2 linked regions of the Canis lupus familiaris genome follow. The protein of the gene in region 1 interacts with the protein of each later gene in a biochemical or structural test. Links are inferred from orthologs where the notes say so. Each region holds a gene or a part of one and is shown in the gene's direction. Other genes may lie near its edges.

What was found.
Region 2: the proteins of COPS7A (region 1) and COPS6 form a complex in vitro, tested with the Homo sapiens proteins (3 studies listed by BioGRID, with this or other methods). The link is inferred for Canis lupus familiaris from reciprocal best matches to the Homo sapiens genes COPS7A and COPS6.

Annotation. Positions count from the first base shown.
Region 1 is NC_049248.1:7,780,781-7,785,010, forward strand, and holds the start of COPS7A (COP9 signalosome complex subunit 7a), read left to right. Parts: upstream 1-1,324; 5' UTR 1,325-1,483; exon of another isoform or gene 1,484-1,596; intron 1,597-1,966; 5' UTR 1,967-2,009; coding exon 2,010-2,171; intron 2,172-3,839; coding exon 3,840-3,915; intron 3,916-4,137; coding exon 4,138-4,226; intron 4,227-4,230.
Region 2 is NC_049227.1:9,446,612-9,451,092, reverse strand, and holds COPS6 (COP9 signalosome complex subunit 6), read left to right. Parts: upstream 1-1,459; 5' UTR 1,460-1,484; coding exon 1,485-1,608; intron 1,609-1,829; coding exon 1,830-1,955; intron 1,956-2,148; coding exon 2,149-2,280; intron 2,281-2,607; coding exon 2,608-2,696; intron 2,697-2,785; coding exon 2,786-2,848; intron 2,849-3,154; coding exon 3,155-3,202; intron 3,203-3,279; coding exon 3,280-3,394; intron 3,395-3,487; coding exon 3,488-3,580; intron 3,581-3,672; coding exon 3,673-3,773; intron 3,774-3,879; coding exon 3,880-4,020; 3' UTR 4,021-4,138; downstream 4,139-4,481. UniProt on the Homo sapiens protein: Component of the COP9 signalosome complex (CSN), a complex involved in various cellular and developmental processes.

The DNA of each region.
Region 1 (4,230 bases):
ATTAACTAAACCTCTTCATTCAGCATCTAACACAAAGTCCTCCAAAACGTCATTAACTTTATTCTTATTTGACCTTCTGCAAGCCCGTATGATGTAAAATACTACAGAACTGTTAGTTATTTATTATTTTTCCTAAAGTATCATGGTAACGTGGAAAGATAGTTTCCAGCTTGAAGAGACATGAGTTCCAGGCAAATCTCTAACTTTATTTTTTTTTATAGGTGTTCAATTTGAAATCTCTAACTTTTTTTTTAAGATTTTATTTATTCATAGAGACACAGAGATAGAGGCAGAGACACAGGCAGAGGGAGAAGCAGGCTCCATGCAGGGAGCCGGATGTGGGACTCAATTCCGGGACTCTAGGATCACGCCCTGAGCCAAAGGCAGACGCTCAACCACTGAGCCACCCAGGCATCCCGAAATCTCTAAATTTTTATGAGCATCAATTTCCTTATCTATAAAGTTAAAGTAATAACAGATACCTTCCTTACACCTAGGGGTTTTTCGTCTCGCAGGAATGAAAAGACTCGATGCGCACGAAAGCCTCACTCTACAAGTACTCCCGGAGTCACACTGGGGATGCAGTATAGTTACGAGGATTCAACGGGATGCAATTTTAAAAGATGCCTCACCAATAGTAAGCAATGTTACTACAATGTCAGTGTTACCTATTATTACTTCCTGTACTTTTCCCACTACTTTCCTCTTGCTCCTCAAAAAAAAAGGAGTGGTTAAAATAGCCAGGGAGGGGGATCCCTGGGTGGCGCAGCGGTTTAGCGCCTGCCTTTGGCCCAGGGCGCGATCCTGGAGACCCAGGATCGAATCCCACGTCGGGCTCCCGGTGCATGGAGCTTGCTTCTCCCTCTGCCTGTGTCTCTGCCTCCCTCTTTCTCTCTGTGTGACTATCATAAATAAATAAAAAATTTTTAAAAAAAATAAAAATAAAAAAAAAAATAAAATAGCCAGGGGATCCCTGCTGCGAAACTTCTACTATTCTTGTCTTCTTCCTGTCTCTCATTTCCCTCCCTCCCTTTTTTCCTTCTCCAGGCCGCTCTTTCTCATTACAGCTTTCCTGCCGCCTCCAGCGCCCTGTGCAGCCCGATCTCCAGGTTTCAAGCAGCTTTGAACAGACACTTAACCACCCGGTACCTGCTGCAGACAAGGGGCTCCCTTCGCATTTACCATCTAGCGCTCGTCGGACAATAAAGTTTTATTGAAACAAAGCAGGAAAAAAAAAAGACGCCGTCCTTCTTCCTCAACAGCCAATCAGAGAGTAGAATGACTGGCGCTCGCCGGAGCTTCAGCCGTCGGAAGGCGGGGGAGGGGCCTGGCCTCGCCAGAGCGGAAGTACGAGCCGGAAGCCCGCCATAGAGTGTAGTGGCCAGAGCGACTCTGCGGGGAGGTGGCAGGAAAGGCTTGGAACAGCTGCCGGAGGTGACGGAGTGGCTGCCCCGCCCGGTGTGCTGGAAGACGAAGCTTCCAGGTAGCGGCCCGCAGAGTCTGACCCAGGGTACGACGGGGCAGTCGGCGTGAGCCCGCGGTCCCTGGGCGGCCTCTTTAAGGGAGGGGGCGGAGCCACGTGGAAGGATCGTGAGGGTGAGGTCACGTGGTTGGGGGTACTTGTGCGGCACCGTGGAAATTTGAGGGAGCGTTGTTGTTAGGGTGGACGCCATGTGACACCCCTTCCCCCACCGCATCCTATGCCTTGGGGTTCAGTGGGGTGCACGTGGTGGGCCTTGGGATCAGGCCCAGGGATGGGGGAGGGGGCCTGGCAACTCTGTCTCAGCCAGGCGTCCGTCAAAGTGGCCGGTTTTCGGATTTCTAGAACCGAGTTTTAGACAGCCCCATCTCTCGTTCTTCATTTGTAGATGTGACTCAGTGCCTCTGCAGTCCAGCCCCTGGCCCCTGTGCTTCCCGCCCTCCCAGGGTTCAGGGACTTCCAGCTTCACATTCTCTCTCCTTGCAGCTCCAGATATCCTGAGCCCAGGCCCTCCCAGCTCAGTGCAGCCATGAGTGCCGAGGTGAAGGTGACAGGGCAGAACCAGGAGCAATTTCTGCTCTTGGCCAAGTCGGCCAAGGGGGCAGCGCTGGCCACACTCATCCACCAGGTGCTGGAGGCTCCTGGTGTCTACGTGTTTGGGGAACTGCTGGATATGCCTAATGTTAGAGAGGTGGGTTCCTGGCCTAGAAGGCACACATGGAAGCTTGGGACTAAGTCTGAATTTGAGAATGGGTGGGCAGGGCTCATTTGCAACCGCATAACCATTCGGTTGAACAGGAATATGGTGATGATTAATTAGCAGCTGGCAAAATAAGTAGGCAAGTAAACCTCTCACTTTCCTTTGCTGATGAATCATCTGTAAAACCCACTGTTTTTCATTTTTAAGCCAAAGAGTGATTCAGAAAAGGAGACCTAATTCCATCCTGTCTCCTCCAATGTAGTACCTCTTAGTAAGATCATGTTGCCTTGATCAGGTCACTTTTACTTTAAGACCTCCGTTTAAAATTGAAACTGATACTGCCCCTCAGTGTCAATTATAGGAATCAGGTCAGATTATGGGAAGTGTAGAATCTGGTACAATTGGGAGGAATGAACATGAAATTGGCAGCCCCTCCTCTCCTCACTTTGTACCCTTTGTTCATTCACTTAAGTTAGATAAGTGCCTAGAAGTGTTAGAAGGTGGCTTTCTCCCCGAGACATGTGGCAAGATGCTAGGGACACAGCAGAGAGAACTGTTCACATAGAGTTAAGAGTTTAAAGTCTAGGGGGTGCTGGATCACCAAGATGTGTGACATCAGCTCAAGTCCTGAGGTGCTATGGCATTGATATGCAGGCAAACTGTGTTAGCTTTTTGAGAGCCAGTAATTGATGGAGTCAATGGATTTAGCCTTCAGGAGTCACTGGTATATGGAGAAAACTCTGGCTGCCTTCTTTCCCTACGCTTTCTTCTACAGTGGAACTAAAGAGGGTCCGTTAAGGTGAAAAAAACAAGCATTTGTTGAGTGCTTGTTTATCTCTGCGGGTCATCTGGGAATACCAGAAAAGTGTAAGACACAGTGCTTATTATCCTCCTAAAACTTATATTCCAGTTGCAGAGATAAGATGAATGGATATGGCCATGTAAATTACTCATTTAGCAAGTATTTTCTGAGAGCCAAATAGCTCTGCAGACCTGAATAGCTCTGCAGACCTAACTGGGTGGGATACCAGGGCCTGGAGCTGTTATCATATTGGAAAGAAAGATATTCTTCGGTAACAGCCTAAGGGTTTGATCGATTAAGTGCCAGAATGAGTGATCAGTGATTGGAGAGGAGATCTGAGTGGGCTGGCCTGGATGATGAAAGCCTCCTGGGTGCTGCAGGTCTGACGTAGAGGCCATGCAGCTCTCAGAGATGCATGAGGGTAACGCAGGAGTGTTTGGTGAATTGGGAGGTACGGCAGACTGCCTACTCAGATTCAGAAATATTAAACATGCTCTAAGGACCAAAATGCAGTTTACAATGTCTGAGTGCGTGTGTGTGTGTGTACATGCATGTGCGCTCACTACCAAACACTCTGAATGTGCTCAGTTCTGAATTTGGGGTAAGAATGAAGACGTACGGAGAAAGAGGGCATGGTGGATTGGGGGGAGTAGTGTAGACAAGGGCCTGGAGGTGGCAATGAGGCCTTCGTATAGGGAGAGCCATCAGAGAGGCAGAGAAGTCCGGGGGGGGTTGGGGGCTGGGAGAGCTGATGGGAGAAGGGAGAGATGGGGCCAGAAAGTGGAATTGAAAACAGAATGAGGCTAGGGAACTGGAGAGACGCCTGTCCTGTCACCTCTTCCTTTGTATTTTTGCAGCTAGCTGAGAGTGATTTCGCTTCCACATTCCGGCTACTCACTGTGTTCGCCTATGGGACATATGCTGATTACTTAGGTAACCAGAGGGTTAGAGCTCTGGAGTAGTGGTGGGAGAAGGGCAGTTTCTGGAAGGACTTCAAAGAAATTCCTGGGAAACCCTCCTGGGGTACACAGGGTCAGGGTCAAGACCTGAATTGACATGGAAGACTAAAAAAATTTTTTTAAGTAGAGGGTAGGAAGCTAGGGCTTCCCACGAAAGTGTAATCAAGATTTCCTCTGCTTTGTCCTTTTATCCCAGCTGAAGCCCGGAATCTTCCCCCACTCACAGAGGCTCAGAAGAATAAGCTTCGCCACCTATCAGTTGTCACCTTGGCTGCTAAAGTCAAGGTGA
Region 2 (4,481 bases), on another chromosome or scaffold:
TAAATGTGGCTGTCCCCTGAATGTGTTTGTCTCCTCCTGGTTGGTCTTGACCAGAGGGTACTGATCAGGATGGAAGGAGGGCTTTCTAGACTTGTTCTGAAAATTAAAGATTTTGCCCTGACCATTCCTTGGAATGACACTTCTCCCTGTCCTCCCTCTCCCCACCCCATACCCACCCCAGGCCATCCTGGTTGCAGGCAAAAGGGAGCCTAGCAAACTCCAACTTAATTTTATTTCGGCCACCAGGATTCTCTTCATGGACTGACATAATTCTGGATCATAAAGACAATGACCATTTGATTGAGGGTGCTGCTCTCCAGCTCCCCCACAGTGGGCTGCGTGTGCTATGGCGGGCTGAACAGTGGCCCCCAAATACAGCCAGGTCCCAATCCTTGGAACCTGTGAATGTTACTTTACAGGGAAAAAGAGATTTTGCAGATCTGATTGAAGTATGAATCTTCGGATGGGGAGATTATCGTGGATTTATGATTAAGGATCTTCAGATGGGGAGATTATCCTGGGTTATCCCAGTGGGCACTGTATATAATGCCAGGTGTCTTTATAAGAAAGAAGCAAGGAGGGGTTTTATCGCACAAGGCGATGTGACTACAGAAACAGAGGGACAAAGAAAAAGATTTGAAGATGCTGCTAAAACACTGGAACTGAAGGAAACTGGAACACATTTCCTGGTACCTGCTGGTTGCGGGCACTGGAGTGGGCTCTGCAGGCTCAAGGCACAGGTCTTCACCTGCTTTCTGAGAGCTTTCACTTTGGATGTGGCACAGGCATACACTGAAAGAACCAGCTAGACAAATGGGTAGGGGAGCAAGGGGGAGTAAACGCAGTGCACAGCGACGTGCTTGGGCGTAGGAGTGGGGAGGGGTCGGAGTGGGCTGGGTTTGTCCCAAGCGAGTTTTGAAAGGCTGCTGGAGATGGAGGATAGAGGGAGGCCGGGAAGGGCTGGAGTGCTGGGCACGTTCCTAGTATGTAGGTAATACGGTATTTGCAAGGAGGAAAGGACACGCCGGTGAACCATTCGCGACCAGGTTTCACCTCAGATTATCCACTCAGTGAAATACCTATTTAGGTCCTTGGCTGTCGGGTTGGACGCGGCAGAGGCCCGCACGTGGGCGTGGGGCATACGAAGGGAACTGCCAGGGGAGCCGGCGCGGCTGAAGCACGAGGACCGAGGGCCGGGTGGCAGGCAGGGTCCTGACCCTGCGGGGCCTTGCACGCCATGGCCCGGGCGCGGATCTTGTTCTGAGGGCAATAACGTGGTTCTTCATTAATTCTGCAACAGTCTTAGGAACTGGGCCGTTTTATCCCAGTTTTACTGACGAGGACGGTAAGGCTGGGAGCGCGCAGGGTGAAGTAATTTGTCCCAGATCTGTCACCGCCGCAAGCGCGTGGCGGACCCGGTCTTCCGAAGTCCACCCGCTCCGGGGCCGCCCGCCCCACCCGCCGAGGCCCCGCGCCCACTGAGCATGCGCCGCTGGCCTACGGAAGCCGACGGGGAGGGGGCGGGGCCGAGGCTGGCGGGCGCGGGGAAAATGGCGGCGGCGGCGAACGGGACTGGAGGGAGCAGCGGGATGGAGGTGGATGCGGCAGGTAACGGGCCTCGCGGAGGCGGCCTCTGGTGACGCCCCCCGGGGAGCGACAAGGCCCCCCTGGACTCCCGGGAGGAGTCAGCAGTCGGGACGGCGATCCCGCCCCCTGGACTAACTTGCGGGAGGGATGTATGGCTCCGGCTCTGCCGTCTCCCGCTCGCAGCTCCGGGGCAGAACGTGCGGCCCCGACGCTCACTCGTCCTCCTTTTCCTCCACCCTCAGTAGTCCCCAGCGTGATGGCCTCCGGCGTGACGGGGAGCGTCTCCGTCGCTCTTCATCCCCTCGTCATTCTCAACATTTCAGACCATTGGATTCGCATGCGCTCCCAGGAGGGGCGGCCTATGCAGGGTGCGTGCTGGGCGTCAATCTCCAACCTCCTCTCCTTGGTCACCTGCCCCAAGTAGGGGTCTTTGCCCCCGCCCTTCCTGAGGCCAGTCCCCCCTCCCCAGGTCACCGTGTCTCCAGCATTGCGTTCCCACTGACCTCGACCCAGGGACCGGATTCTTAACCCTCCTGTTTTCCGTGTCGCTCTCTCCCCCAGTGATTGGGGCGCTGATCGGGAAGCAGGAGGGCAGAAATATCGAGGTGATGAACTCCTTTGAGCTGCTGTCCCACACCGTGGAGGAGAAGATTATCATTGACAAGGAGTATTACTACACCAAGGAGGAGCAGTGTGAGAGGGGGATAGACTCGGGGGTGAGGAGTGGGAGTGAGAAACAAAGGCAGAGTGGGGAAGATGGAGAGTGATGGGGAAAAATAGGAGAATGGGACAAGAACTGTGTTTGTGTGAGGAGAGTATCACAAAGGATCTCAGAAAAGGAACAGTTTAGGTACCCACCCCCCAGACAGTAATAGATGAGAGAAGATAGAAGGGACTAATTATTGAGAACTGAGCCAGGAGTTGAGCGGGGAGGGGAGAAGCTGATGAAAAATATACCAGGAGTTTCCAATGAAGGGAGGGTGATTTAAAGAATGATACCCTGTGCTCTTTCCCCTGCAGTCAAACAGGTGTTCAAGGAGCTGGAGTTTTTGGGTTGGTATACCACCGGGGGGCCGCCTGACCCCTCTGACATCCACGTCCACAAGCAGGTACACATGCATGCTGGTGCATGCTGGGGCAGGGCTTGAGCAGGGGAGGAAAGATGGGCATTGACACCCACATCCCCATTCCCTTCCAGGTGTGCGAGATCATCGAGAGCCCTCTCTTTCTTAAGTTGAATCCTATGACCAAGCACACAGATGTGAGTAATACTGACCCCATGCCCACTTAGGCACGGTGCTGGACAAGCATGACAATCTTACCCTCCTCCCCTGCTGTGCTTTACATCTCTGTTGGGCTGAATCTTCACTTGAGGTGAATTCTCCGCTCAGCAGCTGTGTGACTTTAGGTTAATCATTTAATCTCAGAACTGCTTTTTGCCCTATGTATAAGGTGGGGGTTAGCCTTACTTCAGTGGGCCCTTGGGAAGATTGGGAAAATCTGCAGAAGAGCCAGTACGGTAGCCCAGGTGCACTTGATGTAAGAGCTGTCTCCCGTTGCTTTACAGCTTCCCGTCAGTGTTTTTGAGTCTGTCATCGATATAATCAATGGAGAGGTAATGCCCTGCCTTTCAACCCCGCGGTCCTGCTCCTTGGCCTTTCCTGCTCCTGACTCTGCTTTTGTGCCCTGTAGGCCACGATGCTGTTTGCGGAACTGACCTACACTCTGGCCACAGAGGAAGCTGAACGCATTGGCGTCGACCACGTGGCCCGAATGACAGCCACAGGCAGCGGCGAGAACTCCACAGGTAAGGAAGACTGGAGGTGTTTCCTCAGCAGTGGGGGGTGGAAAGCGTGGCCAGGTGCGTTTTCAACCTTGGCCTCTCCCTGTCTCCCCCCAGTGGCCGAACACCTGATAGCACAACACAGTGCCATTAAGATGCTGCACAGCCGGGTCAAGCTCATCTTGGAATATGTCAAGGCCTCTGAAGCGGGTAGGACAGGCGTCTCCCTGGCACGCCTACCACTTTTTCTCACTCCTGAGGGTGACCTCATCCACATTAATGCAGTCCTTCTGTGCCTTTAGGAGAGGTTCCCTTTAACCATGAGATCCTGCGGGAGGCCTATGCTCTGTGTCACTGCCTCCCTGTGCTCAGTACAGACAAGTTCAAGACAGACTTTTACGATGTGAGTCTAAAACCCAGGCTGGGGACGTGGGGTTTGTACATCATGTCTGCACGCAGGACCCGGGACTCAGACATTCCCTGGGCAACTGGTTTTCTGTTCCTTCCAGCAATGCAATGACGTGGGGCTCATGGCCTACCTTGGCACCATTACCAAAACCTGCAACACCATGAACCAGTTTGTGAACAAGTTCAACGTCCTCTATGACCGACAAGGCATCGGCAGGCGGATGCGGGGGCTCTTCTTCTGAGAGGGTACTTGAAGGGACGATGCACAGGTTGGACAGTGGTCCCACAGGGGAGGGGCATCACACTCCCTTTAGAGAAACCTCCTGTTGATAATAAAAGAGGAGCAGCCCCTCAGCACCCCTTGCAGTGGCTCTGTCCTCTCTGTTGGGCACCACACGGCTTTCTCAACTCGGATCTTGAAAGGAGGCCCTTGGTTCCAGCCTTGCTCGGCAGGACAGCCTGATTGGGAACTCTCTGCCACTTGAGGTGACCCCGTCCTGTCAGGTGGATGCATCTATACTGGGCCAAAGGCTGCCTGCTTCCACCCAGGCGAGCTCTGTTCTCTAATGTCTCCCAGTGCAGAGACCAACCATATACACTTGACAAATGACTGCTTTTCCAGGCTAAGTGAATTCAAGTCTTTTTCACCAAGTGCAGAGGAGTATTTTCATTTCTGTGTAGGACTGCCCAAAAGCTCTGATCC